Linked DNA regions of Schizosaccharomyces pombe. Changing the gene in region 4 together with the main gene of any one other region gives a genetic interaction. Each region holds a gene or a part of one and is shown on either strand. Other genes may lie near its edges. The genes, in order: prp3, dre4, cwf11 and cdc5.

What was found.
Region 1: mutations in cdc5 (region 4) and prp3 impair growth when combined (synthetic growth defect), as found in Schizosaccharomyces pombe (one study listed by BioGRID).
Region 2: mutations in cdc5 (region 4) and dre4 are lethal when combined (synthetic lethality), as found in Schizosaccharomyces pombe (one study listed by BioGRID).
Region 3: mutations in cdc5 (region 4) and cwf11 impair growth when combined (synthetic growth defect), as found in Schizosaccharomyces pombe (one study listed by BioGRID).

Annotation. Positions count from the first base shown.
Region 1 is NC_003424.3:4,400,627-4,410,884, forward strand, and holds prp3 (U4/U5/U6 small nuclear ribonucleoprotein complex subunit Prp3), read left to right. Parts: upstream 1-3,252; 5' UTR 3,253-3,460; coding exon 3,461-3,541; exon of another isoform or gene 3,542-3,591; coding exon 3,592-3,750; exon of another isoform or gene 3,751-3,796; coding exon 3,797-4,456; intron 4,457-4,498; coding exon 4,499-4,809; intron 4,810-4,892; coding exon 4,893-5,310; 3' UTR 5,311-5,363; coding exon of another isoform or gene 5,364-8,470; 3' UTR 8,471-8,544; coding exon of another isoform or gene 8,545-8,712; 3' UTR 8,713-8,970; downstream 8,971-10,258. Other genes in the region: F-box/WD repeat protein Pof11, read left to right, coding at 1,391-1,517, 1,593-1,687, 1,739-3,037; mxr1 (peptide methionine sulfoxide reductase), read right to left, coding at 9,979-10,007, 10,063-10,258. UniProt on the Schizosaccharomyces pombe protein: Participates in pre-mRNA splicing and in nuclear mRNA export. May play a role in the assembly of the U4/U5/U6 tri-snRNP complex.
Region 2 is NC_003424.3:423,263-429,170, forward strand, and holds dre4 (splicing-associated factor Dre4), read left to right. Parts: upstream 1-2,715; 5' UTR 2,716-2,767; coding exon 2,768-2,807; exon of another isoform or gene 2,808-2,843; coding exon 2,844-3,060; exon of another isoform or gene 3,061-3,101; coding exon 3,102-4,080; 3' UTR 4,081-4,153; downstream 4,154-5,908. Other genes in the region: RhoGEF Gef2, read left to right, coding at 1-45, 95-641; pre9 (proteasome core particle subunit alpha 3), read right to left, coding at 1,215-1,961; nuclear membrane protein Tht1, read left to right, coding at 4,321-4,681, 4,724-5,328, 5,391-5,908. UniProt on the Schizosaccharomyces pombe protein: Component of the spliceosome involved in mRNA processing.
Region 3 is NC_003423.3:920,725-929,399, reverse strand, and holds cwf11 (protein Cwf11), read right to left. Parts: upstream 6,729-8,675; 5' UTR 6,676-6,728; coding exon 2,821-6,675; 3' UTR 2,759-2,820; downstream 1-2,758. Other genes in the region: mRNA cleavage and polyadenylation specificity factor poly(A) polymerase Pla1, read right to left, coding at 1-411; gta1 (glutamyl-tRNA amidotransferase alpha subunit), read right to left, coding at 1,042-1,384, 1,432-2,257, 2,304-2,550; TORC1 serine/threonine protein kinase Tor2, read left to right, coding at 7,116-8,675. UniProt on the Schizosaccharomyces pombe protein: Involved in mRNA splicing where it associates with cdc5 and the other cwf proteins as part of the spliceosome.
Region 4 is NC_003424.3:2,692,133-2,697,930, reverse strand, and holds cdc5 (splicing factor Cdc5), read right to left. Parts: upstream 3,233-5,798; 5' UTR 3,174-3,232; coding exon 3,155-3,173; exon of another isoform or gene 3,115-3,154; coding exon 3,095-3,114; exon of another isoform or gene 3,038-3,094; intron 3,029-3,037; coding exon 3,014-3,028; exon of another isoform or gene 2,950-3,013; coding exon 2,830-2,949; exon of another isoform or gene 2,761-2,829; coding exon 2,312-2,760; exon of another isoform or gene 2,248-2,311; coding exon 597-2,247; 3' UTR 514-596; downstream 1-513. Other genes in the region: SPOM_SPAC644.13C (Rab GTPase-binding protein), read left to right, coding at 1-513; [pyruvate dehydrogenase (acetyl-transferring)] kinase Pkp1, read left to right, coding at 4,402-4,495, 4,579-4,745, 4,825-5,697, 5,757-5,798. UniProt on the Schizosaccharomyces pombe protein: Involved in mRNA splicing and cell cycle control.

The DNA.
Region 1 (10,258 bases), 1.7 Mb from region 4:
AACTACAATGACTGAAATTCAAAAGATCTGACTCAATAGATAGAAGACATTCAGATTACTAATTTAAATACTAAATGGTTATTCAGTTTAGGTTAAAAAAAAAGTGGATTATCCTTAAGATAATATTTGATGAAAACCCAAATTTCACGTGGAACTGACGACATTTTGCAAAGCGAGAATCTATTTAGCACGGTAAACATCAAATGAAATTGGTTGAATAACCTCTTCATTATAATAATTTATATAGCGATATTTGCGCCCCTGCTTGCCACTTTTTCTTTTGTGTATATTTTTTTAAATAGTAGTATAGCGCACAAGTTTCATCTGTAATACTATTAATATGCATACTGAGCAAGATATGTTCGCTGGTGGAGGAATCTTACAAAAGCCGTTATAATTTGGCCTAATTAAATAAATCACTGTTGTACTATTATAGTGAAAAATGACAAGCGTCTGCATGAATGCGAATTTATATCCTTTCAGTCTATAGTTGCCTTGTGATAGAATTAACTCATACAGTGTGTCACGTTTAAAGCAACTAAAAAGGCATAGTGGTAAGAAGGCGAAAACATACTAGTCAGGTATTCTTTTCTAGCTACTTTAAAAAAGCTTCCATTTCGTGGCTGTTGTCGAGTATGCAAATAACTGAAATGTCAATTGTTGGAACATGAATGACAATCATGCTGAATAATTGTAACCACACAATTCATTTTTGTACTATGCACATTGACCACTTCTTATTTTCCTCTTTGGTGTTTGTACAGTTAAATTTTGTTCGCCATACATCTCCTTAAATGGTATAGCGATAAGCACCGACAGCTAGAAATATGTCAACTATTATAATGTGATGTACGCAAATGTTAGTAGAATCTTACATTTACTGTTTTCCTTCTGCTTTTTCTATGGATGATGAATGTAGCTAAGAATCAGTTTTACGTTAATCTGTAATCACAAACCGCTCATACAAAAGAAGTAATCTCAACATTCCTGAATCCTCGCGAACCTTAACTTAAACGATATAGCGTATTGCATAAAACAATGGTTTAGGCTATTTTACTGTATAGTTTCGGATTGCGTTATTATGTAAATAACAAAGAAACTTGTTTGCATTGTTTTGAATGTTAAATACTTGGTCTTTTGCCATAATATATATACAATACGTATTAATACTTCGGTACATTCTACCAAAACCAAAGCGCTTATCGCAAATATTATTTTTTTTCACTTGTAGAAGGAAACTCATATCGGAAGGTTGTGAATTGAATTGATAGTTTATTATAAAGGCCTGCTGACTTGAACAAAGGTCTACGCCCATTTCAGTTTGATACAGATATGCCCCGTGTCGTATGACTACCATATGTAATAGCTTGGGATCTTGAAAACTTTAGGAATGAACCAGGACGACAATGGCAAAAATGTGGTTAGCAAGGTGTCAGATTTGACATCTTGCAGTGATTTCAGTACCTCAAGTCCGGTTCCTTGCCTAAATCCGCTGTCTCATGAAAATAATAGAATTGGTATGTTTTTTTTGAAGCTCACGGCTTTACTTCTTTTTTAATTTGTACTCTTTTCATTTTACTAATATAAAGAAGACTTAATTCGTGATCTGTTGGCTTCCTTATCCAAAGAAGGGGTAGTTGCTGTTTACAATCACGTTCGTTCTCTGTTATTTACAGATTTCACAGAAGTATGAAGTTTTCAATTCCCTGTATAATATAACTAATATCCGTTAATGTAGGTATTTCCTGAAGAGGTTAGTTTGAGGGTGTTTAGTTACTTAGATCAGCTTGATCTATGTAAGTGCAAGCTTATGTCAAAGCGCTGGAAGCGTCTATTGGAAGATCCTGGAATTTGGAAGGCTTTATATATGCAAAAGGGTTGGTTTGTAAATGAAAATGTGCTAAATGAATTTGAAGCTTGGAGAAGGACACACAAGTTTCCTCAACCAAGATTCGAAAATTTTCTAAAGCAGCAAAATATCATAGGACCCTATGGTACAATGTTTCTACCGCAACAGTTTATCTTCGACTCCAACGGCCGGCCCTTGTTAAACTGGTCCTATCTATACAAAGAACACGCCCATTTGGATAGTAATTGGAGACATGGTAGATTTCTAGTATCTACATTCAATAACCCCTCTATACGCTTCCCTGCAGACCAGGATTTTCGTGCTACATTGGATAGTGTTTATTGTGTTCAATATGATGACGAAATCATGGTCAGCGGGTCTAAAGATCGAACAGTAAGTGTGTGGGATGTAAATTCTCGATTTATTCTTTATAAATTATACGGCCATTCTGGAAGCGTCCTGTGTTTGGACTTTTGTAGACGAAGAAATCTTCTTGTTTCTGGTTCTTCTGATTCAACAATTATTATATGGGATTGGCAAAACCGACGCCCATTAAAAGTTTATTTCGGACATACAGATAATGTGCTAGGTGTCGTTGTATCCGAAAATTACATTATATCTTCTTCAAGGGACCACACAGCTCGAGTATGGAGGTTAGATGCCACCTCCCCTGCTGAAGCTTGTATGCATGTTTTGCGTGGTCATCTTGCTTCTGTAAATTCTGTACAATATTCTTCGAAAACTGGATTAATTGTCACAGCAAGCAGCGATCGCACTCTACGCACTTGGGACATAACTACTGGCCATTGCATTCGCATTATTCATGCTCATCAACGTGGAATAGCATGTGCTCAATATAATGGTAAATTTATTGTTTCAGGCTCTTCGGACCTTACAATTAGGATATTTGAAGCAAGTTCCGGTAAACTGCTTCGTATGCTTCAAGGTCACGAAGATTTGATCCGCACTGTGCGATTTAATGATGAAAAAATTGTTTCAGGCGGTTACGATGGCACTGTTCGAATTTGGAATTTCAACACTGGCGAGCAACACTGTGTATTGCATAATAGTAGAAATTCTCGTGTGTTCGGTCTGCAGTTTGACCACAGACGTATTATTGCATGTACTCATAGTAGCGAGATATTGGTTTGGAATTTTGACGATGGATTGGATTGTACATTTTTTTAGCTACTCTCTTACTTATTATTCAATGGCGAAAAGAATACCAATTTGCTAGTTTTAACCTTCCCATCCTTTGCTCAGACCTGGGCAGTTCCTCTCAATATCGTAGTATATTAATTTTTTTTAATGAAATAGACTCCATTGTTAACATGTCTGCTTAGTTTTTGAATACAAGTATCGCAACAAACTATACTTAGGCGGTATGTGCCACCACACTCCTTGAATGGACCAACTAGGTTAAAGATTGAAGGACACAAAAAACTGTCAAGTTTTTTTACTATATGCATTTTTTTGAATTTAAGCGTTAATGTAAAGTTCACAGTTTATATTTAGACCACGAATCTGAGTTTTTCAAAGTTTACACGCACAGTCGTTGTACAAATTCGTATTCCCAGCTTTGCAAATTAAACTACTGCTTTCAATTAACTGATGGATCGTAACAAGAGGCGTTTAGAATCGTCTCAATTGAGGGAAAGTTCTTCGCCGAATTCTCAAAATAAGCCTAACGCTGTATGTTTCAAAAATATAAAACTAATGGACGAATATCTAATTCAATATAGATGGAAGAAATTAAAAGAAGACGTTTACAATTAGAGCAGCGTCTTGCACAACAAGCTCAAGTGCCTTGGGAAAAACGCTCTGAAAATGGGAATAATGCTGGAATGGAAACGATACAAAATCGTATATCAGAGCTTAAGGAAAAGACAGCCAAGAGATTTGTAAGTTTTTTTATTTTTGTTATTTGCAGTTGCTAATCGTTTGTAGAATGCCAATATACCCAAATCTGAAGGCTTGTTCAGAGATGATAGTAATGGTGCCAAAGGGGGATTAAAAGTTGGAATCCATCCAGTGCTTTTAGATGGTAACATTCAAAACACAATTTTAACACCTGAAAATCGTAAACGAACTGCTTCTTTTTCGACAAAGGGTGTTTCTTTATCGCAGCACCAACTATTGAAACCACCTGCTATTACAGAACAAAATCCTTTTCTTGATACAGCCCCTACTCCTAGATTAGAGGATTCACCATTTTATGATCCTCGAACGAAGGAATCACGGAAAACTAGGGGTTCAAGGAATTTGCATTTAAACGAATCTGGCAAGTTTATAGAAGAAGCTAATCAAGCTCGTCGACAGGCCAGATTGGAGGATCTCAAAAAAAGAATAGCTTTACACTCGCATAAGGCAGGGATTGAAGATGAACTTGACATTACGAGCAAGTCTATTGGAAGAGATACAATTCCCAACATTGAATGGTGGGACTTACCCTTTATAAAGGATTATAATGACTATGGTGATGAAAATAACTGGCTAATTGATGGTCCACAATCAATTATCAACTCAGCTATTCAACATCCTATACCTGTTCTCCCTCCTTATGCAAAAAACCAACCGTCATCTCATTCCGTCTTCTTAACTAAAAAGGTAAATTATTTGAAAGTTGATTAATTGCTGATTATTTTTTAGGAGCAAAAGAAAATAAGAAGACAGACTCGGGCTGAAGCTCGAAAGGAAAAACAAGACCGTCAGTTACTTGGAATTGAACCTCCAGAGCCACCGAAAGTCAAGCTTTCTAATTTAATGCACGTTTTAGGAGATGATGCTATAAAAGACCCTACTAAAATAGAAGCAGAAGTTCGAAAGCAGGTTGAAGAAAGACGTCTTCGACATGAGCGAGAGAATGAGGAACGGAAATTAACTCCGGAGGAGCGAAAAGAGAAGGCATTCCGTAAGAAAGATGAGGATTCAGCTGCCGGTCTACGTTGTTTGGTATTTCGGTATGTATCTACAACTATTGCATCTCTGTTTATGTTTTGTGTAAATATGTATTTTGGCTAATTTACTGTACTAACTTATTTAGTATTAAATACCTTGCTCATAGGCCTCATCGTTTGAAAATTGACCTTAATGCGAAACAATGGGGAGCTACCGGTGTGTGTATCTTGAATGCGAATTTTAATTTAGTAATTTTTGAAGCTGGACAAAAAGCTATCAAAAAATTAAAAAGACTAATGCTTGAAAGAATCGACTGGACTGATACTTCAAGAAATTCCATTATAGCACAAGGAAATAAATTAGTGGATACTGAAGGACGGGAATTAAATTATACAGAAAACACATGCAATTTAGTATGGGAAGGAGAAATTGGTAGGCGAGCTTTTCGTTACTGGTCGTTTAGAAGTTGTCCATCTGAAAACGACGCAAAGAGTTACTTAGAAGAACAAGGAGGAGCTGAGCATTTTTGGATGTTAGCAAAATCCTGGTCTGAAAATGTTTAAAAATCTGATAAAAAATTTTTATTATATATATTTTTGAATGATATTTTAATTAATTACTCCTCTTCGCTTTGTTCATCCTCGGAAACAGCTTGACCGCATTGTCTAAGCAATTCCTTGTCTTTAGTTCTCTTCGACTCTAATTCTTCAACTATCAGCAACCAATATTCATCAGCTTCCTTGAGTTTTTTCTCTAACTCTTTATTTTTACTCTCTAAATCTGAAATTGTTCGGTTGTCACTGTCCTTCAATGATTGCATGTTTAACGACGCGTTTTGCAAGCCAATAATGTCAACCTTTAACCTCTCAATCTCTTCGTCACGCGCATTTAACTTCTCATTGGCTTCGGCTAATGCTTGAGAAACTTCTTTAAACTTCTCGTTATTAACGCTTTTTTCTTTATTCTGGTCATCATTTGATACGCTCTTAAGAGAATCGTTTTCACTTTTAACCGTTTTTAGTTCTTTGCTTAAAGTTGAAGCTGTTTTCGTCGCTGCCTCCAAATCTTTTTCCAGTGAAGAAATTTTTTCAGTATGTTCTTTGGCAAGTTTGTTACCAAAATTAATTTTCTCCTGTAAATTGCTGCACTTCTGCTTTGCTAATTTTAACTCATTAGCTTGATTTTTATTGATAGATTCCATTGAACTCAATTCATCAGCAGCAGCAGATATTCTCTCGTTCAAGGTTTCAATTTGGTTTTTGTCTTGATTCAACTGCGATTGCAGCTCTTGCAAACGTGTAGATTCCTCGCTAAGTTTATTCTTCAAATCCGAAATTATGTTTTCTTTGTTACCAAGATTATCATTCAGTGCTTTCTTGGACAATTCAGCTTCACGAATTGTATTTTTGAAGGACTCTGTATCGGCATTCTTCTTATTGAGCTTTTCAGTAAGCAAATTAAGGTCATTTTCTAGCTTTTTGTTTTTGGATTCTAATGCAGCCAGAGAATTATTCAGTGACTTCGACTTTTCTAACTCAGATAACAAATCCCTATTTTTGGAGCTGATTATTCCAAACTGGTTTTTTATATCATCCAACTGTTTGGTAAGTTTTGAATGTTCCTCGATGAAATCTTTGATTTCGGATTCGTGACCTTCTCTCAAAACTTGCATTTCCTCCTCCATTTGTTTACAATTCGACTTCGTATAATCTAGTTCAATTCTCAAATCATATAATTTTTGCTGATTATCTAATAACTCTTCATGGTATTTTTCTGCCAGTTGTGTTTGTTCTTCTAGATTTGTTTTGCTAGTCTTGAGACTTTCATTCAACTTCTCTTCTTGAATAGATCTTTCTTTGACAGAAAGGTCTAATGCTTCTTTAGTGTTATCAATCTCTTCCCTCAAACTTTTCAATTGCTTTTGTGCTTCGTCAAACGCATCCAATGTATTGATTTCACCAATTTTAGTATTGAATGCGTCAGCGGCGTCGTCTATAGCGTGCTTAAGGCGGTAAAAATTATCCTTAAAGAAATTCACAAATGTAGTGTCAAAGAGGATGTCATTGCAATTACCATCTTCTGCTTCATTGACAGGAACGTGATCTCGTATAAGTTCATCCTGCGAAGCCGTTGTAGCCTATTAATGAACACGTCGCGCTTGACAGCAGAAGTGATTGCATTGTAGACATCAGATTTAGATACCGGAGACTCTATTGGACAATAATAGTAAACCAATGATAAGAATACAGCTATCATGCCTTGAATAACGGAATTTGCTGAAGACGATTCATCCATTAGCGCCGTCAAAAATGTTTGCAAAATGCTACTTTCCGACAAAAAGTCTTTGACACTATCAGGATTACCATAAACCAGAGCGATTAATAGTGTTAGATAACCAACACAATTTTGAAGCGCGTTCTCATGTCTTAAAGTAGCTATTAACTTGGTAGATACGCATTGAATAAAGGTGACTTTGTCTTCACTTTCGGAATCCTCGTCATTGTCCATATCTTGGAACAAAGGAATCGAGCACAAAAGATATTTTCTCTGGTCATTATCAATAACAAGGTAGGTAAGGATTGTGCTAGTGAACCAATTATCATACTGATCTTGATCGGACAAATGTACTAAATCCAAATATCCTTGAATTATATTGAGCCGATTATCTTGTTTATGGGTGTATGCATGAATAATTTGCTTTAAAAACTTCGATGAAAGCTCATCATTTTCGGAGGTTAATGACCTTAGGAAAAAAGCCACGGAATAGCGATGTGAAGGTGAAATAGAAGAAAGAAAGAGATAATCAAACAAACACGTCAAAACATCGGTATTTTTTATATCAAAAAAAGTAGAGTCGACAAAACTATTTTGAGCTCGAGCATTAGAATATACGACGTGCGCTAAAGTTATCCAGCTAATTTTTTGAACGTCAAAGAATAATAAATCAGGGTGAGTAGCAAGTGTGAGTAAAACATCAATGCCGTGATTGGAGACAACAGCATTTTGATTAGCAATACTAGAAGATAAGCCAATTGGTACTAATGATTGAAGAGCATATAAGGCTTCTATAACACACTGTACACGAGAAGTGTCCCAAGTTCCATCAACAAAAGTGTCAACGGACAAAAGCTTAAGTAAAGAAGGAATGTGGTTGGACTCACGGAAATAATTTTGGTTAGAAATGTTATCTTTAAGTAGAACGTTCAGAAATTTCAAGGCTTCTAGTGCTATTATACCACCATCGACACCACCTTCATTTTCTAGCAATGAAAATAATGTCTCAAAAGCGTTTTCAAATACCACCAACTTCTGGATGCTTGTGCAGTCCTTCACCAATTCTGACAAAAAATAAAGATCTGCATTTCGAACTGGCTCAATGGAGTCTCGAAGTGGAACCATTATACTGGAGATAGCAGAAGGAAATGTTTGAAGACAATCTTTCAATTCAGTGGGCCGGCATGATAAAATAGCAGAGAACAATTCAACAGAATATAGACGAACATAGAAATCTTTGTGGGATATGCTTTGCAAAAGACATTGAATATTGTCTTGGTTCAGGATAAACTGATCTGCTATCCACAACCCAGTATCTGAAGCTCTTGAGTCGTCATCGTGTCGCGTCAAAATTAAGCATGTTTCTAAAGTAACTTTTAAAAGTTCAGGATCATCATAGTCTCTGTGTAAAGATTGAATTATGCCTTTTAAGCCATGAGCAGCCACGAGCTAAATTTGTTAGTCCCAATCGAACAAAATTAAATAAAAAAGCAACCTCAAACTAGTATTTAAAAAAATCATACCTCCTTAAACTCTCTCGCAAAGCTCTTAATTCCGAGAGCAGCAGCTTTTCGATCTTCAAAAAGCGTAGCATGTTCCAACCGATCACAGAGCTTCGATATCGTTTCATCCGCCTGCTGAACTTTGGGAGGTGATAGAATCACATTGTAACTTTTATGAAAAATATCCATCAAGTGAGCGAATGCACGCAAAGGCAAACAGCAGGATTTCAGCTGTCAGAAGTTCCCCAATATAAAAGTAGTTAGCCCTCGCTTATAAGAAATTATTAGAAACTGCAATGCATTACGCTATGTTCAATGTAAACAAAGCATTTCTCCCGGACCACACGACAAACGTGAATTTACTTAAAAATCTGAGAACAACTAGGAAAAGCTAATTCTGAACCAATTTTATATATATTTTCGGACCCATGCCATTTAGGAGTGAATTAAAGACAATTGAATTACAGTAATACGTTCATAATTTCTTTTATTTAAGATAGATTTACACAAAAAATCTAAATAGTAACGTTGCTGTTATTCAAACGTATTTTCATTGCTTCGCAAGTTCATCTTTGTCGCTAATTCAGGCTTAAATTACTATAAATTATTTGGGATTACTTTATATGACTAGTCGAAAGGAGCAGCTGGATGCCTTTTTATCGAGAACTTTGTCAGAAACTATAGCTCACATTCCTTTGGAAAAGTTCGCACAATGTTTTCCTTCCATGAAAAAGGGGAAAGTTATAGCAGTCATCCATCAGCAGCTGATTGAGTTCTTTGAGAAATCGTGTAAACAAGAGTACGCAAACCTGATTAAAGAAAGAGATTTAAACAAAAAATTGGATATGCTAGATGAATGCATTCATGATGCTGAATTTCGCAAATTGCATGGAGAGTCAGAGGTTGACATTAGTAATAAACAGCCTCAAGAAATTCTAAAAGCACATTTGTATTCTCATAAAAGAGAACTTCTTGATAAGCTTAATCAGGATCTGTTGGATATTGACAAAGAAAATGAAGGGTTATCGACACAGATCGCGGCGGGAAGAAAAAGCAACTGAAGATTGTATATCCAGAATGCAATCGTTAATTCAAAAATTGGAGAAAACAGTTTATGGAATGAATGAAAAAAATTTAGCTAAAGAAGCACATGATACACTTAATGATCTACTTCCATACATCCAAAACCCTTCTTCTACATGGACTAATGCACTCAACGAACAAGGAAATATAGAACGTTGAAAGAAGTAAATTTCTAATCAGTTGCATAATTATATGCGAACAAAACTATATGATTTTTGGAACTCACAACAATAATAGTACTAATTAAGTAGCATTTTGACATCGTACTTAGCTTCAGACCAGTCTTGGTCTGTACCACATAACTAAGTTTGCAATCCCAACTTAAGAAAAACAAAATGGAAAAAGAAACACGCAATCTATGTTTCGTCACTTTTACTCAAAAACATTCCAACGCAAAAAATCTAATCGAATGAGTTAGTAACACTTTCTGGTTTACTTGGCATTTAATATTCATACGTGAGCTGCACCTGTACCCATCAGGATTTTTTTCAAGGTAAAGCTGATGATAATCTTCGGCATCCCACCATTTACCAGCTGGAAGAATTTGGGTTACAATTTTCTTATTAGGATAATGCTTTGCCTGCACCTCGTTCATGACTCTTTTAGCAATGGTTGCCTGTTCAGGATTTGTAGTAAAGATTGCGGAACGATA
Region 2 (5,908 bases), 2.3 Mb from region 4:
GAGTAGCCTAAAGATCCTTGAGAACATTTTTTCTATTGCTTCCGAGTAAGTCACCAAGCTTGTTTTTCAGAGGTTTTATTATCTAACGTCGTAGTTTGCTTTTGAGACTTCCTCTTAAAGATCAATGTGATTTTGTTACGAAACAACTAGCAATTGCCTTGGCTCCTTCCATGTTTGGAAGTAATGCTGTAGAACTTGTTTATTACCTTGCATACCACAGTGATCGCATTTTTGGAACAGTAGAGGAATTGCCGACTCCGGTTTCCCCTGCGAATTCCAATAATGATAAACAGTTAGATGAATCGAAATTCCAAGCAATTGCCATGAAAGAAATGCCGGAAAGACACCCTAAGGAAATTTTACCTGGTCAAATAGAACGAGAGGCATACGAGGATTTACGACGCAAATATCATCTGACTCTTGCAAGGTTGGCTCAAATGACTCGATTAAATGAAGATTCTAAAAAGTCTATCCCTCTGTTGTATGATCGCTTCAACCATGATCTTAAGCTTATAAAGCAATCAGTTCAAGCCAGTTTAATTAGAAAACAATGTGAACTAGATACCGCAAAGTGGACTCTTGAAGAGTATGAATCCAAGCTAAACGCTAAGGAAGGTTGTCAAACCAACATATTTATATAGCCAACTAGTCTATACTACATCGATTATTAGATTATTTGTTTTACTATTCCTTTTTTAGATATCAATAGTTATTTTTTTTATCCTTCAATATGTAAGTGAAAGTTAATAATACTCATCAAAAAGTTTTCTCTTATTTTTATAAATAGTATAGAATTGGAATATGCTACACCGTTTAAAATCTTCAGTTATGAAAACTAAGCATATAGTTTAGAACATATGAGAGTCATTGACATTCCATTGGAAATACTATAATTTTAAATATGCCGGAATGGTGTACTCAAGTAGAAATTGACGTTATGAAGGGAATGAGAAAGAAAGGTCTAAGTATAAAAGAAACTTGAAAAAAGCCTTTTTTAAAACGGCATAAGAATTCATAAGATAATGATTTAGCGTAGATAAAAAGAAAGCAAGCCTATATTGAGACGGAATAAGGCTCATGATGGAACTTAGTTTGCTTCAAATTGTTTACAAAAACCATGAGCTAATTACAAGGAGATTAAAGGGTAACGACGAAAGCTATAAAAAACAGCTATACACTTAAAGTGTTTTCCCAATGAATTGAGTAAGGCAATATTAAGATTGCCGCTGGGTCTCTTGGTACTTATTGAGCACTTCATTTATTTCATCTGACTTCCATATTTTGCAAACCATTTTGTTTTTCGTGGTATCCTTTGTTATTGTTGCAAATTCAATTTTTTCATGAGTTAGGGAGTTACTGTCCAACGTTTTACTCAAAAATTTCACGGCCATAGCAGAAGCCTCATCTAAGTTTATATCATCCTTATACTCCTGTCGCATTAAGCTTTGAACACTAGTACTATTTCCTCCGATACTATTTGCTTGCCAGCTTCCGTAATTTCCAGATGGATTAGATTGGAATAGCTGATATCCACGAATATGATCCCATCCAGCATATAAGAATGAAACACCGAATGGACGTAGCCCACCATACTGTGTATAACCTTGTTTGAGGTCACAAACGCGACGAACTAATTGCTCACAAGGCATCTCTTCATTAAAAGTCTGCAAGTATTGTTGCCCAACCCTTCTAGCGTAGTTAATTAGGATGTTTGCATCTGCGGTAAGCCCTGCCACAGCACATAACATATTGTCTCCTATATGATATAACTTTTCTGCGGATTCTTCTTGTTCTAATAGTTTGCTGGTAACCTTCTTTTCAGCAGCTAAAACAATTCCATCTTTAGCTACAATCCCTAAAGCAACGCCAGCATGGTTGATCGCTTCCAATGCATATTCAACCTGGTATAAACGACCTTCAGGTGAAAAAATAGTCGTGCGAGAATCGTAGCTTCTTGACATAATGAATTTGGTTGATGACAAGTTCGAAAATGCGCGAAGCACTAGATCACGAACATTAATGAGGTCTACCGAAGTGCGATTACCACACTTGCTTTATTCTTTATGTGCTTACTACACTACTATAACAGGACTGACTTTTACCTGTCTTCTAATACAATTAATCTATTATGATTTAAATTAGTATGTTGTTAATCCGCTTATTTTTACAAGCTATGCTGTACAACAAATGTCTTTATAAATGAGAGCTATTTTTACGATAATCAATTTACCTTTAGTACTTTCATATCCTCAAGATATAAAGTTATCAGTGTAGGTTGCTAATAATTAAAATCTGCTTGTAAAAATATTTGAACCAGAGGAGTCAATACTAGTGTAAAAATGTAGCTGCTTACAAATACTTCCAGCCTGCCGTTTAACGATTTACCACGAGTTATGAATTGCTCGTAAATTTATGCGGGTTGTTGTAAATTGACAATATTAAAATTGAAGTTCTCGAAAATGTTTTATTATATTGTACTTGGTAGACCATTTCATTAACTTCTTATTTGTTCTAAAGGAAATACTTGGGAAGACGCTACGTGCGGTGCTGTTATGAGGTTTTTGTAGTATATTCAATAATGTTAACTACACCTATGAATTTATGCAATTTATACAGATTTTTTTTAATAGTTTGTAGAAATTTTTTTGTAATTGACATAACTATTCAGCTGGATTTTGCAAAACTGTTCTATCTATTCTCACACACACGCCCACTGAATACTACCTAACATAGTGTCGAACTTAACTTCTTGATTGTACATATCTTAATGTCACAGCCTTTGCCTCCTGGATGGACTGAACATAAAGGTAAATTTAATGAGCAGTTTATTTGCTAACTCATAGCACCCAGTGGGATTCCTTATTACTGGAATGCCGAGTTAAAAAAAAGCACTTACCAGCGCCCAAGTTTCATTGAGAAAAACCATTCATCTTCTGTTACTGCTTCGCAAGCTTCTTTGGCGTTTAACACAAGCGAAAAGCTGTTTGTTAATGAAAATGCTGAAGAGCGCAAAAATTCTCGAGATTTGAGGAAACAATTACCGGACAGACCAAAATTCAAGTATGTGAGGCGTAAAATTTTGTTATTAACTTTTTTTTTAGAAAAAGAATTCCTAATAATGATTCATGGGTGGTTGTTTTTACTAAGAAAAATCGGTATTTCTTTCACAATTTAAAAAGCCATGAATCATATTGGGAACCTCCTTTGGAAATTAGTAAAGACTTGAAGATATTACGTCTTCCGATACGGAAGCAAATCAGTAAAGATTCCTCACAGAGTCAGAACGTTGATAGTGGTAAAACCAACCACGAAGAAATACATGAATCTAGGCATTTACAAACAGAGATTGAAGAGCCCTCTGGTTTAGAAGAATCATCGGAGGAATCCGTTTTATATTCTGAAGAATTTTATGAAAAATCTGATGAAGAAGAGGATGAGGAAAAATCACACTCCGCTGAAGAGTTGGAGTTTGGTGAGGAAGATATTATGTATCAACTTCAACAATTGGATGATGAAACAGTTTCCTATGATATACAGGAACAAGCTACAAATTTATCTACTGATGATGCTAGAAGAGTATTTACTGAACTTTTGAAGGACAAAAACATCGGGGCATACCAACCGTGGGAACTAGTTTATCCAAAGTTATTAGACGATGATCGTTTTTACGTATTAGATTCGGGAGAGAGACGAAAAGAGGTGTTTGAGGAATATTGCAAGTCGGTGGTTTCTACCAAAAAAATTACGCGTAGAAAAAATACCTTATCGGATTTTTGGACTTTGCTTCATTCACTTCCATCTACCTTGCTATGGCCTCAATTTAAACGTAAATATAGAAAGTCGTCGACTCTTCAAATTCCAGGATATTCGGAACGTGATTTTGAGAAACTTTTCCGTGAGTTTCAGATTCTACGAAAACAGCCTATGCAGGACAAACTGTTAAATTTTAAAAAGCTATGCAAGTCAAAAACTGTAGATCCTAAAAACCCCGACGAATTCACAGAAAGCATACTTAATGACACACGATATGCCGTACTGACGCGTGAAGAACTGGATTCCTTGGCTTGTTCAAGTAATTAATGAATTTTTTATTAAATAGGTGCTTAGAGAATTTCTCATTTATTAATTTATTTGGAAAAAAATTATTTTTTTTCGCGTACTCTTTTAAGCAAGTAGTTTGTCGACGGGTGAGTTTCTTTGTTTACCATCTACTACAATTATGAAATTTCATCCGACGCGTCCTTTGGGTTATATTTCGAGTTTTTTATTATTATTTCTTTTTTCTTTACTAGTGAGTCTACCGGAGATGTAGAATCATTTATGAAATATTCGAATGTGGCCTTTTCCGAGGGGTTAGCCGGTTTTGATTCTTTAGCTCACGTATATCAAGCACTCTTGAAAAAATCCACTTGCTATCAGGAAGTTGCTGCAACTTTAATTTCCAAATGTAGCTTATTGAATACTGAGTTGACTATCGATAATCGAATTCACTCAGCCATTCAAATGACTCTTTGCGATTTTGAACGGTCTCAAATTTTGGCTCCTTCAGAATGCGTTCGTGGCTCGCAAAGTGAATGTGTATCGAAGTTGGAGTCAACTTCTACCTGGTGGCTTTCATTCACTAGTCACTTTCATGATGTAAATCACTTATGCCGGTTAGCAAATCTGGAAATGCAAAAAGGTAAACTTTAAATAAACTCTAACAAACTAACAATATAACAAGAATTATCAATCGAGGTGAATATGAATGTAACTCTTGTGCAAAAGCAATTTTTGGAAATGGTAATTTTGCATTTGCGAAACTTTGAGAGCGTGACAGATAAAATGAATCAACGTATTGATAAGTTTGATGGAAAATTTAATTCAGTTATCGAAAATTCTTTCAAAGATATCAACTTTCGTGTCAACCAAGAAATTATGGGCTTAGTCGAATTGCAAAACCATCAACAGGAAGGAATGGTACAACAAAAAGAAATACTAAGTACAATCAAACAACTAAAATCGGAAATATTTGATATAAACTCCTTTTTCGCTAATTTTATTGAAGAAAGTGCTGGTTATTCCAATAGTTTAATTGAAAAATTGAATGAAAAGTTTACCTCAGAAAATGCAATTGCTCTTTCCGCTATCGGCAAATATACCAGTGAGTTCTCTGCTTTTATGGAAAAAAGGATAAAAAATTTAATTACTACAACCGAGGATTCATTACAGCAATCAGTGCAATCCAACATCGATTTTGTTAACTCAGGTTTTCAACCGTTATACGATCTTACAATTCAATTGAAAGAGGAGCTTCAATCATTGAAACGTTTATCCTCTGAGCAACAGGTTAGTTTTACTTAATGGTTTTTATATTCATCGTTATTGCTTTGTCTAACAGTACTGTATAGAATTTGCAACACGAACAGATACTTCAATGGAAGTCAGACTTCTTAAATGTCAGTAAAGATCACCTTAAGGTACTTCAACAGTTAAGGCCTCTTATTGACATTGTTGAGAAGTTTATGAATGTATATTTTAAAGGATTGTCCAACATTATTAGCAGTTTTGCTTTTATAGGCTTCACGCTGTTCGCTACCTTAAGCAGTTTATTTTTCAAAGTTTTAAAAATACATCGCCGACCGATTATTGTATTCGGCTCCTTATCAATAATCTTTATTCATATTTACTGCTTTAAGATTACCTCATGGGTGAATCTTTACGGATGGATCACTTGCACTATTGCGCGAACTCTCTCGTTTATTAAATTAAATATCCGTACTTTCTATCTGACAGCATTTTTATGTGCTTTATTAAATTTTCTGCGATATCTAAAATACCGAAATTCCAAAAAAGATACGGAGCTATCTCTTTTCCTTCCAGCACCAGAGGAGTGCAATATATATCATAATGAACATATTCAAGTTCA
Region 3 (8,675 bases), on a different chromosome or scaffold from region 4:
GTCAGGTACAGCAGCAAGGTCAGTTACCTCTTCTCTTTCTCGAAGCATAGGTTCCAAGTCCTGAAAGAAATTGTCGCGAGAAACATGCTTGGGTACAACGACTAGGGTATCTATGTCTGATCCAGGTCCATAAACGCCCAGTCTATAACTTCCGTACGTAAAAATTTTCCCCCCTGCCTCATTAGCCATCTTTTCGTTCATATGTTTGGCAAGTGATACTTTCTTTACAAATTCTGTCGTTATTTGTTGCAACTCATCAAGAACCTTTACTCTTTTTTCAGATTCGGCAGGAGATTCAAACAAGTTTTGGTTCTTCAACTCATTAATTAAAGCCGTATTCAAAGCATTTTCCTGTTCAGTAGCAGGTGCAGTACTAATTGGCGGTGTAATACCCCATTGCTTGGTAGTCATGCTTTGAAAACAAAAATTGGAGTCTTGAAAGGTAGCTGTTTTAAATTATCCTAACCTTTAAAAACAACTGGTTTAAAGCGTACTAATGCTAAATGTGTAGATCTGGTTAGCATTCGTTTAGGATTTAAGGCATAAATACGCAATTTCACAAAGTGCGTTATCTTATTATAATGTCAAAAAATTCATTTACAGTTGCACTGAGACATTTATTTCGATTAAATCAAATTTAATTTATCTGGTAAATTATACAATTGTTGCTGTTTATCATATATATCTTGACAGTGCACTATGTTCATTATCTGACAAACCGATTGCTCCTGGTTTTGTATTTAAAAGCTTACCCGTTAAATTCCATCCTTCAGATATGCATTTTTTTTGGTTGAATAAACTAGCGACTTGAAATGTAAAAATAATTTATGTTGCTGAGAAGTGTAAATGATTCAGAATCCACATCTATTTATTGGATTTACCGCAGTTGTAGGGAAACTGTCGAATTATTGATGACAAGTTCTCCAAAACTCTTTGCAAACAAGTTTCAATGTATGAAATTGATTCCAAACAGTAAAGAATTATTATGCTCATAAAGATTATCATAGCCATGTTTCGAGAGTTTAGATAAGCAGCCGAAATCTATGCAAACTGGCCTGCAAAAGACAACAAATCTTCGTCATTAAGATATTGGGCCATAATTTGAATTCCCATTGGAAGCCCATTGTTCAAAGTACCGAAAGGTATGCTAACGGATGGTATTCCAGCCATATTCGCTGGAACTAACATAGTATCTGAAAGATGACTATAAGAGGACGGGGTTTCAATGGGTTGACTGGAATTAAAAAAAGAAGGGGTAACTATGAAATCGATGTCACCCCTGGGATCATCGACAGAAAAGGAAGGTAGAAAAAAGTTTTTGTTGAATTCCAGCTGTATGGCTCGGCGAACGTATCGAGCCTTAGAAAACAAATCAGAGGAATTCCTATTTGTAAATATTAGTAACTACTTAGTAAATCAGTTATATCATACATTCTTGCTAGTGAATAAGCGCCTAGCAGTAGCCTCTTTTTCACTTCGTCTCCTAAAAAAAAAGAGCGTGCAGTAGATGAAATTATTTCCTCTTCGAACTTTTCATCTAAACAATTGCCAAATGCGATAGTATTATATTTAGCCAAATTTGAAGTCGCTTCTGCATAAGCCATTGTGGAATATACACTGTTAGCGTATAATGAAATTGGAAGCTGTATTTCTTGGACAAGATAACCATTTGATTTCAGAAGAGATATGAATTCATTCCACTTATCTAAAACGTTTGGATGAGTCTCAGAAACATTCCAGTCAATTGGAATTCCTATTTTAATTGGCTTCCGCGATAATTTTTTGTGCTGCTCTTTAACAAAATAACGAGCTTCTTTAGTTAAACAGGTTGAGTCATTTATGTCGGGATGGTCTAAAACATTAAATACTTTGGTAACGCCCTTAACATTATTTGCAGCGATACCCACTGTGTCAAAACTATTGGCAAAGGCAAGCATTCCATATCTCGAAATCCTGCCGAAAGATGGTTTAAAACCTACACAACCTACGTAAGCAGCAGGTAGACGGATTGATCCTCCTGTGTCTGAACCAACTGATGCATAACATATATCCGCCGCGATTGCAGCAGCAGCTCCTCCCGAGCTGCCCCCAACATCGTAATTACTATCCTTAACAACAGGATTAACAGTGCGACCAAAAAGATTGTTTTCGCTCTTGACTCCCATTGCAAACTCATCCATATTTGTTTTACCAAGAATAATACCGCCGGCTTTCTTCAAGCTTTCGACAATTGACGCATCAAACGGAGAATTGTAGTCTAGTTAAACCGCAATTAGTAACTGAAATATATTCTTATTGTCTACCCTTCAACATATTAGAGGCTGCCGTGGTTAAATTTGTCTTCGTGCAAATATTTTCCTTTACTGTAATCAGTTTCCATTTTAACGGAAGCTTCTTTTCCAGTGGTAATTTACTAATTTCAACAAATGAATCATATAGATATTCGGCACTATTTATTGAAGTTAAAGACTTAATTTTCGCATCATTTAGAATGATACTAGCATATTTAGCTGCAACTTCTTTTAATAAATTGTTATATTTATTACTCATTCGACCAATCAATCATTGGACGTTAACTTCGTGCAAATAATGTATTACCCAACTTGTTGTATAGTTGAATAAAGTAGTGAGCTATTATCGGTATGACACCTAAGACTTTTTCTGAGGGGATCAACTTTTTATTGTTTGTAAAGCTCACTATTTAGTTTTTTAAATAAGTTAATTATGCAAAAAAGCAATGAAATAAAATGACTTTAATCTTACAAATAATCATTAATTCAATACAACAAGCAAATAGTCTATATGAAGTAGGTTTTTATTTTAATTCGTATTTAACCTTTTTTTAGTCATTTCAACAACATAGTTTGAGAGATGAAGTAAATTTTCAATTTCAAATGTTTCAACGGAAGATCCGATTTTGTGAGAACTTGGATATATTTCTCCCGTGGTTAAAAGCAGCTTGTCAGGAGTCTTTTCAATTTCATTCCACAGTTTTTCAAGACCACGTGTAGAGCGAAAAAGGTCACGGTTGCACAATACGTACAGACCATATGAGCATGCTGAAAAGGCTTTATAAAATGTTTTTGGATTCCAATGATCAGAGGCCTCTTTAGATTCAACTGTCGTAAATATAACAAAGTTTACCCGTTTATCGCTTGGTAATTTTTCCACGGTACCTACAAAAGCAGGCTGACCAAAAAACGAGTTATGAGAACAGCGTACCGATATAATTTCATTTAAAAGGCTGACTTGACTCTCATAAAGCGTACAGATTACAATTTCGTTGGTGGGATAACCTAACATTCGCATGTACTGGAATAAGGCAACTGCGTACTCGGCTTCTCCAAGATTTTGCTTATAACCGCTAACGGGTTCTGTTTCTTGAGAACCTTTAAAAGCTCCCACATTAATAAATTGGACCTCATGTGCAAACCCCGAATTACCATAATCAAGTCTTTTATTGGGACTAGAATCCACAGTTTTGATGTCCAAAGGATAAATTGATGAACATAGAGAACTGATAGATTCTCTAACATTGTATTGCGTATTAAGGTCAATAATTCTGGATTTCAAATACCGCAAACGTTTGAAAAGTGAACCATTTGACGTATTATTTATATCCTGATTCCCAGAGGTAAGATATTGATTACCCAGAAGAACAAGGCGATCAAAACCAGTTGGTTCACAGTTTGAAAGTAGTATGCTAGTGATAGAGCTTTCACTTATATTTTGTGAGTTCATAACAATTAAATTGTTAAAGCAAAATCCCTTTTCTTTCAAAGTCCCTAAGCGTGTACTTAAGCTCGTCCAAGTGCATCCGATAATCCTAGATTGTTGGCATAATGCATACAATTCTTGATCTTCATAATATCTCAGTAATCCAAAAGGCCGGATCTCTTCCAGCTGTTGGAACATATATTCTAACTCCCCGTATAACTTTGTCGCATAATCGAAAAAATTATCTTTATTATACGTTTCTATCGGACGCTTAGATTTGTCACCGAAATACGAATGGAAAGGGAACCTGTTATAGGCATCCACAGAATCCTTATCATCTACCGTGTTCAAGTACTTTTCCCAAAGTCGCTTAATATAAGCATCCCTAAAATACAAAGCCGTATCTGGGCTGGCGTCATGAGAACCTGGAGCCTGGATTGAAGCAGCTAGGCGACCGATTTCTCGTAGAAGACCAGGAAGCTTAGATATCCAAGACGATAAAGTACCATAACGTTCCAACGTTTCGTCTTTTCCTTCATCAGATAGATATAATAGGTGCCCTTGGTGAAAACATCTAGCTTTTTCCAGTAAGGTAAACAAAGTATTCATAGAGAAATTGGAGTCAGAAAGTACAACGGTTCTATCATTGGGAGATGTGTCTTGTAAAACCTCTAGAAGTTTGCATACCAAAACATGTTTTCCACAACGAGTTGGACCATTAACCATAGTTAATCCTGGTTGAGATCCACGTAAAATCGATTCTAGCTGTTTGTCATTGTAAGTATATAATCGATTTGATGGTAGTAAAAAATGCCTATCAGATGCGGTAACATCAGCTGATATTTTGTTCTGATTAGTATAAAATTTGATTAGTAAAGATTCAGTTGATAAATTAGAAGGTACATGACAATTAGGAAGTACTGATTGCAACTGTTCGACTGTATTGAACAAGTTTCTAGCATAAATAGAATTAAGCCCAGCATTAGGAAAAGCACATATATCAGGCGTTCCAAAACCCAAAAATAAATCTTCGAACCATTTAGGAAATTCTTTAGCGCGATTAAGTAAAGATACAAGAATATTTAAGTCCAACCAATACTTATTTGCCTCAGGAGACAGTACCAAAGCAAAGTTGAACTTCAATTGCTTAGGGCGATATTCCCCCAACCCCGCAAGGGAATGATAATAAAATGGGCTTAGGTATACATTGATGGACTTGTTGTCAGAATCTGACTGCATATCGCTTTGAAACATTCCAACATCATCATTGCATATCGTCGCGATTGTAAAATCAGTCACCCCTTCTAAGGGGTCAAGCGCATTACCATGTAATAACTTGTACTCCATATCTTTAGAAATGTATATTAAGCAAAGAAAAGGGCTCTTGATGGAATTCTTTAAATCACGTAACGCTGAATGAAAAGGTCCAGGTCGACTTAAACCCATTTGACACTTTACAAATTGAGGTAAAACTTGACCGATTTGAGGTGGAGCAACGGAGGTAACTTTAAAGTTATTTAAAGAGAAAAAATTATCTTTGGTCAAATTCTTGGTCGCATTTTTAATTGATAGTCTCCTGTATTGTTCACTGAAATTTAAAAGTTCAGCATATAGTGACCTTAACAATAACTTTTTGTAAGCTTTACTCTGTTGTCTCATAAAAAAAGATATAGAAAGATATTGTATAGCAGTGTTTTGTAGTAGGAAGTAATTGGTCAAAGAGTTTTCTTGGTCCATCACGGATCGCTCACCAAGTACATCTTTCAAAGTAAAATTTATGATTTCATCATAATCATTTACCAATCTAGTCCTATCATACGTGTTAATAAAAACATTTTTTAAAAATTCGAAATCCACTTTTATAGCATATTTTTCGGGAAATGAAGTCCTCAAATAACATTTACTACACAAGGACTTAAGTGAATTGAAGGAAAGAAAAGACGTAATTTCCTCCAATTTTTGTCGCTGTTGTAAAGAGGTTTGTGTGCAAAATACCAGATCCCCTAATTCCTTCTGAAAATCCGAAAATAAAGTTAACTGTAAGTGGTAGTACACAAGCTCATCATTTCTGATTTTTTGTTCTTTCTCATATTCGTTACCTCTGGTATTATCAAAAGGGAATTTCAAAACATAGTTTAAGTCGTCTGTCATTTTTTTAAAAAGCTCATTACTGTCGTAATACAAAGACATTCTTAATGCGGTATAAAAACAACTGTCTTCTATTACGGGATGAGCAAAGCGACGTGTGGGAAATGCGGATAGTAAAACCAAAGACATATTGATAATTGCTAAAAGGGGGGTTACTTTCGCTTCTTGTTTTTCAGTTTGAGCGTAGCTAATCGATTTAATAAGCAGAGAATGAATCCAGCGGGAAAGTAAATTATGTAAAGGGAACTTTTCAACGATAGACGGTCGTTTTTCCTTATAAGAATCAAAGGCTTTCGTCAGAGAGCTTGAGTCATGTAGTAAATATTTTACTTTATCAAGATTATCAAGCGAATTTAAAATAGAAATGTTCGTTAACTGGTAAACAAGTTTCCTTAATTTCTCTATATTCGAAAACTGAAAACAGAGAGTAATGAATTGAATCATGTAAACCACTTCTGATAAATTTAAGGATAAAGAGACTTCAATTACTTTTTCAAAAAATAATTGAAACCGATTTTCATCAATGAGGTCCCATGTAATATATTCATATTTGGATTTGTATAATAGAAGCATACAAGTTAAGTTTATATGGTTCAATGACATCTCAGTATTAACCCTCTGCCAAAGGAAATTCTCAAAAAGCTTTAACTCATGTAACAGACTAAGTACTTGCTTAGCATCTTTACTTACAATGACAGCTTCGAGGATGCATTGTAGCATAGTTTCTTGAAATTCTACACCTTCATTTTGACCCCAATTCGAATTTGCATAATTAATGATTTGTTTTTTTTTGTTTTTATACAGAACCATTTAATAGAGAAAGGGATATTAGCAATATCACAAGTGTTGTGAACTTGGTGGTTAGCGTCAGAATCTTTAACAGCGATTCTTATTTGTTCTCCTCTATGAGCTTTGAGAAAAATGTAAAGTAAAAAACTTAAAGTAATACTTCGAAAATAAAATTTAGATAATCAACACTCGTTTTTGGTATTTTACCAAAGTTCCTAAGTTTAGACTTTTTTTAATAAAACTTGGATTTTTTGAGAACACTAAATATTAACTTGTATATCTATTACAAATAATTAATCGTCATAAAAATATTACTTTTTCAATCGTGTTTCTATTGATCTCCTCTCTGCGTATACTAAGAATTAGGTGCAAAAGTACAGCAGGTGCTTGTTTGGTCACCACCAACCACATTTAATAATTTTGTTTAATTGAGAGAATGATGCTAATTTAAGCTGTATATAATGAAAGAATTTCCTGGGTTGAAAAGCAGGAATGAAGAAATTCGCAATAAAGCGGCAAATGATCTTTATGAATATGTTATAGCTTATTCTCGAGAATTATCGGGCGAAGCTTTAGTTCAGTTTAACAATGATGTTAACAAGTACGTTTATACTTTAATTCACAGTACCGATCCACTCGATCGTCTGGCAGGCGTAACTGCCATAAATCGTCTAATTGATTATGAAGGAGAAGATACTACAAGGATTACTAGATTTGCAAATTATTTGCGTATTATTCTTCCAGGAACTGACCAAAAAGCCACCGTTCTTGCTGCAAAAGCTTTAGGGAGACTTGCAGTTCCTGGAGGTGCTCTAACTTCTGAATTTGTGAACTTCGAAGTTAAACGCGCTTTGGAATGGCTTCAAGGAGAACGTAATGAAAATCGTAGATATGCAGCAGTGCTTATACTTAAGGAGCTTGCCAAAAATACGTCTACATTAATCTATGCTCATATCGATTCAATTTTTGAGCTTTTATGGCATGGACTTCGGGATCCAAAAGTTACTATTCGAATAGCTTCGGCTGATGCGTTGAGTGAGTTCTTGAAAATCGTTAGGCAAAGGGATTCATCCATCCGTCTCCAATGGTATACAAGTATTCTCAATGAAGCTCAACGTGGTGTTGCACAGGGTTCTTCTGATTACATTCATGGTAGTTTACTAGTATATCGCCAATTATTTTTAAAAGCTGGAATGTTTATGCATGAGAGGTATCGAGAAGTATCGGACATTATATTGCAATTCAGAGATCACAAAGATTTGCTTATTCGCAAAACCGTTACAGAATTGATTGCTACACTCGCAGCTTATAATCCAGATGAATTTGTTTCCAATTATTTACACGTTTGTATGCTCCATCTACTTAATCTATTAAAAAAAGAAAATGTTAAGATGTTGGCGTTTGCCACTATTGGAAAAGTTGCCGTGGCTATTACTAATAGCATAATCCCATATCTTGACCCCATATGCGATTCAATCAAGGAAAGTCTAAAAATCCATATCCGTAATAAAAGTGCTTCGGATGCTGCAATTTTTCAATGCATTAGCCTACTTTCTATAGCACTAGGACAAGCCTTTTCAAACTATGCGTATGACCTCTTTGACTTAATATTTGCAAGCGGACTTTCTGAGGCTTCTTACCGTGCTCTCTCAGATCTGGCCCATAATATACCTCCATTATTACCAGTCATACAGGAACGACTATTAGATATGCTCAGCAAAATTCTAAGTGGTCGTCCTTTTATTCCTCCAGGATGTCCTCCCCAATATGTAGCAAGATCTTTAAAATCTTCAAAGAGTGCTTCCCTGAAGACAGGATTTTTTCCCAATGACGTCTATATTTTGGCTCTAAAAGTTTTGGGAAATTTTGACTTCTCCGGTTATATTCTTAATGAATTTGTGAAGGATTGTGTAGTTGTATACCTTGAAAACAATGACCCGGAAGTACGCAAAACCGCCTCCATAACCTGCTCCCAACTATTTGCTCGTGATCCTATTTTATCGCAGACTAGTGATCATGCG
Region 4 (5,798 bases):
TCTCTGGACGAACCCATTCGTGTTACATTATTTAATGAATTTAGAGCTATTGGTGAAAAACTCGTCTATGTTTTGTATCCCAAAAATGCTCAAGTACTACGCGACTGGGACTTGTGGGGTCCTTTGATTTTTTCCCTCGTAATTGCTTTAGCACTTGCCTTGTCTACTGACAAGATTGAACGAGAATCTGTTTTTACAGTCGTTGTCGCGCTCATATGGTTTGGGGAAGCGGTTTGTTCTTTAAATATAAAATTACTAGGGGCCAACATTAGCATTTTTCAATCTATGTGTATATTGGGGTACTCCTCTTTCCCTTTAATGATTGCTTCTATAGTTTGTGCATTCGTTCCCTTAATATTTATACGCATACCTGTGATTGTTGCAATGTATGCCTGGACATTGTTCGCTGCTATGGGTGTTTTACAAAATTCTAATCTATCCAACAAAAAATTGTTGGCAGTATACCCTTTATTCCTTTTCTACTTTTCTCTAGCTTGGATTATCTTTTTATAAAACTTTCGTTTTATTTCAGGCATGATAATATACACTATGAATGATAAGCTATGACAATTATTTAAAACAAAGTGAAGTGAAGTTTAATTTTGTCCAGTAACCCTAGCATAATCTTGTTGAGCATACGCCTCGATTTGTTGCATTTTGCTTAGCTCTATTTCAGCTGCTTCAAGCCTATTAGGTAGAGCTAATCGCTCCTGATTGTATAGAAATTCGTAGCACGTTAAATTTTTCCTTTCTGTTTGCAAAGCCTTCCAAGCATGCGAGATTTTCTTTATCAAAAAATTACGTTGCTCATATGAAGATCTAACCAAATCATAAACCCGATTTTCCAACTTGTTACATTCCAATGCTTTCTTAGCTAAATCTCGTTGAATGTCGTTCGTATAAAACTTTTCAGCGGCTTCAACGTCTTCATCGTCTTCCTCGTAGATTACCAAGCCTGGCAACAAACTTGAGGTGTTGTGAAGTGCACTGTACGTTTCCAAAAATTCCTTCTCGAATTGGATATAATCGTCACTTTCTAGTTGCCCTATCTCTTTCTTTAGTAACAATCTACACCTCTCAATTTCTTCATTTGACAAATCAGGCACTTTGTTAGCCGTTCCTTTCACTTTTGAATTTCCAAACGGATAATTAATGGCGTCCGATGAAATCAAAGCAATCATTTCTTTCAATAAAACATTTGCAGTCGGATCTTCATTTTCAAGTGAACGCTTCCATTTTTCTGGTTGTGTTACAGATGGTCGAATCAAATCTCTTTGAATAACCTGTGACCTCCTCGCTTTTGCCAACCTTTCTTTTTCTGCAATACGTTCTTGGATACGACGTTCTCGGTCTGTTGCGTCTTCTTCAAGCACTCCAACAGTAGCTTCAACATCAGTTTCGTCCGCAAATCGAGGCTCCATTAGTTCATAGTCGTTTTTAGGTTTAGGTAGTTTTGCAAGCAATTCTCGCAAAGCCTTCAATCGAATTTTATTTTCTCTTTCACTTGCTAATCGTCCTGCTCGCTCCGCAGCTGCATTAATAGAAAATGTGTCACGTGGTGTTCTAAAAGGAGTTGCTTGAGGTGCTGCCAAAGCTGAGCCATTAGCTGCATGACTGGGAGTAACTCCTGTGTAACCAGTACCACCAGGTTGTAAAGGTATACTTTCCTGACCCAAGAGAGAAGATTGTTCGCGGTTCCTCATCAATTGATTTCTAACTTCAATTGTAACTGAATCCTCTCTTCCCTCAAGTTCACCACTAATTGGTGTTCTCAATGGAGTAGCTCGTTCAATTTGTGTATACTTTCCTAACAAATTAGTACTGTAATTAGCATCTGGAGTCGTATCAGTCATAGCGCGAGCACGATCGCCTGCAAAGCCTAGTTTCACTACTTTATCCAGTTCATCTTGAGACACAGTAGGACTAGGTAAATTCAACTTCCGCCTCTTGCTCATCTGCTCAGCCTCGGCAAGACGTCGCATTTTTTCTTCTTGGGCATCTTTGTTGGGCTTTTTTACTCTATCAATAGGTTTTGGCTTTTCAAAATGACCAAATTTTCGACCTTCGGATTCCATTTCATTATTCCGTATTCCATTTTCAATTATCTTCTGGTCCGCTTCTCGCTTTTCCCGAAAATTTTGCCTGTCCTCTTCTGAGGTATCATAAAAACCAATCGCTGGCTTTTTTTCAAATGGAATAGAAGCGTTATAATCCATTTCATTCTTCTTTCGACGGAAGAGCTTTATACTAAGTTATAGATTAACATAATGAAGGAAAAACAATACAATAAAGTAATAATAATAACACATACTTGATTCCAGCTGCCTTCAATTCTCTTCGCTTTTGGAGATGTGACAATCTTCTAGTTAATTCAAGCTGCTTTTCTCTATCCTTTCGTTTGGCTTTCTTTCCTTGTGTGTTTGCTAAACGTGCACGTGCTTCACTCAACATCTCTTTTTCGTCTTCATCCATGTCAATGGCATCAGGGAGTGCAGGTAGGGTTTCTAAATTGGGCTCTGCTTCGCCAAAACGAAGCCGGGAATTTGGATCGTTAACAGGCGCAGCTGCTTCTGCACCTTCTCCACTGATCAATCCCAACTGCTCGTTCTCTTTCGCTTCCAAATCATCAAGAAGTTTTTGATAGCGTTCTAAACATTGAGTGGCCGTCCGACCTACAATTGGAGCAATCGTCCGCCACTGTGTAGGAAGTAACTTAGCTAAGTGTAATAATTTTTCGTCCTCTTCACGACTCCATTCAGTCTAAATGTGAAGGAAATGTTAACAATAGGTCTTGTCAAATAACAAATAGTGATTACATGTTTAACATACCTTTTTAATGCTTGGATCGATCCATTCATACCAACGAGCTTTACATTGTTTAGGAGTTTTGCGAACCAGCAATGAACTTATGCGGGCCCATTGGTTTTTACCGTATTTACTGACAGCAGCCTAGGAATTTGCGTTAGTATTCTAAATATTAAAGGAAATATGTAACTAATAAATAAAAAAATACCTTTAAGATTTCATCCTGTTTACCAATAAGTTAGTAACAAAAACATTGCGCGTGGTAGAAGGTTAAAATCATAGTCTTTACCTCTGTATTTTTCCAGGCACCTAAATTATGTTAGAAAATACAATAAAAAAAGTTACAAACCTCCTTTTAAAACAACCATTTTCTAAATATTCGCCAAAACCCTGACAATTGTCAGAAAGCGTGGTAATGGAGGTTTGTAGTAACTGTAACAACTTGCGACGAAACAGGGTGGATGGGAAATTGAGGTAAATGTCGAGTGCAGCAGAAAGTGACCAAAATTATATTTTATATTTAAAGTAGTTTTAACTTTTAAAAGAACAGTTTCTTAAACACACTAATAGTCAAACCAAATATTCATTTTATTGTTTTTTCCAGTTTGCTACGTATCACATATTTACCTTAAATTATTTCAATGTAGCACATGTTTCTTTATCGCAAAAATATAATAGCGCAAAATCGTTGGACAACATTAAATTTTTTTGAATATTCCTAACCGTTGAGTATTAAGAAAATATTTGACAAGCAGGATATAGCAATGATCAAATATGTTTATCTTGAAGGTGGATCTACCATACTCTTCCTCTTATTTATGGTTGGTATATCAACAAGTAACTACAAGCATTGCAGTATTATGTGTATCGTTAAGTAACCTAATGACCGCGTATTTGTCAGCAATACTACACTACGTTACATATCACTATATGTCATATGTTGGAATACTAATTAAGATCCGTCTATTGATCATCACGGGTAACTATCCGTCTATATACATAGATACCCGTTGATAGCAACTATTTAGAAATATTATAAATAGAGTTTTAACTGAACTGAGGAACGAGGTTCAGTTATAAGCTATATTAGTGATAGGTAACATTTTATAACCTAGTTAATACAATACCTATACTCAGTTGCTACTCATACGACCTGTGTATTGTAATATAATAGACCACAAGGAAAACTCACCGCAGTTCTACGTATCCTTAAATTAGATAACAAACTGTGTAGCTAGCAGTATTGTGAAAAATAAAATAAGCAATGCAAAAGAAGTATAATGTATCACGCATTTCAATTTTAATGGAATACACTCAAGTTCATTATTTTTATGGGTACTTTGCAAACATATGAATGCATTAGTTTAGCAAAAGCTTTCTTAGATTCTGTGTGAAAACATTAAGAAACTGCTTTATTTGTTTGTTTCTGAAGCTCATCTTTTACTTTCTTTAGGTTATATTTTGCAAATTGCCGCTTTTTTTATGCTCGTCCATGGGTTATCATCTATTTGTTAGACAAACCAACAAAGTTTACGATTGAACAATTGTTCTATTTATCATTATCGAATTTAAAGAAAAACTTAAGGTTTAAAAGAAATGTCAGTGCTCGGGAAAACTTTACAGGAGAAAGTCAATCTCTTGGCTCAATATCCTCAAACAGGGTTGTCTTTAAAGCAATTAGTGTATTTTGGTAAGAATTTTTGCTCAGTTAATTTTTCTTAGATTACTTCATACTAGAAATTTTATACTGACTGCTTAATTTTTATTATGAAGGCAAGAACCCTACACCAGGAACACTTTTCCGGGCTGGCTTGTTTTTGCGAGATGAATTGCCCATTCGCTTGGCTCGGCGCATCCAAGACCTGCAGAATCTTTCACCGATGCTACGAAGTATGAAGCGTATATCTTCCGTAAAGGCTGCTTACGGTAGATCTATGGAGGTAGGTCAAATGTGTATATTTGCATGTTCGATACTTGTCGAAACATAACCAGAAATCAAACAAAGCTAACTGGTTGAAGGAAATTATTGAACTGAAAGGAGTGGAACTACCGAAATGTCTTCCAAAGCACGCTCGATATCACAATGCCCCGAAATGGAGGTCAAGTTTAATGGACTCTGAAATTCTTCATAATCCCTCGCTTGCAAATACTCATTTAGACTCTTCAAAAGGTCGCTATTTTGAAACAGATTTTTCTGACCAAGATAATGGCGTTGATTGTAATTGGCCCGAATCTTTGTTAAAATTTAATAGTAATTTTGCATACCTTTTAAATACCATTCGAACTAGACACGATAACGTTGCAGTCGAAATTGCTTTGGACATACAAGAATACCGAAGGAAGACTAACCAAATTGACAACAGTATTCAAATATTTTTGGATAGGTTTTACATGTCTCGTATTGGAATTCGAATGCTGTTAGGTCAATATATAGCACTTGTCTCTGAACCGCCGCGTGAGAATTACGTTGGTGTGATAAGTACACGTGCAAATATTTATCAAATAATAGAAGGTGCTGCTGAAAATGCCAAGTACATTTGCAGGCTTGCGTACGGATTGTTTGAAGCACCTGAGATTCAAATTATTTGCGATCCTTCACTTGAAATGATGTATGTAGAGTCCCATTTAAATCACGCAGTCTTTGAAATTCTCAAAAACAGTCTTCGTGCAACCGTAGAATTTCATGGTGTAGACAGTGATTTCTTTCCTCCCATAAAGGTCATTGTTGCAAAAGGACAAGAGGATATAACCATCAAAATCTCTGATGAAGGAGGCGGTATATCCCGTCGAAATATCCCTTTAGTTTGGTCATACATGTTTACAACTGCCTCTCCTACATTGACAGATGATCCTCACGATATCGTTAGCGCAAATTCTACTACTCCTATGGCTGTAAGTGAAACATTTTATTATTGATCGTTGAAATATATAATACTAACAAACATGCATAGGGCTTCGGGTTTGGTCTTCCTCTCGCTCGACTTTATACTAGG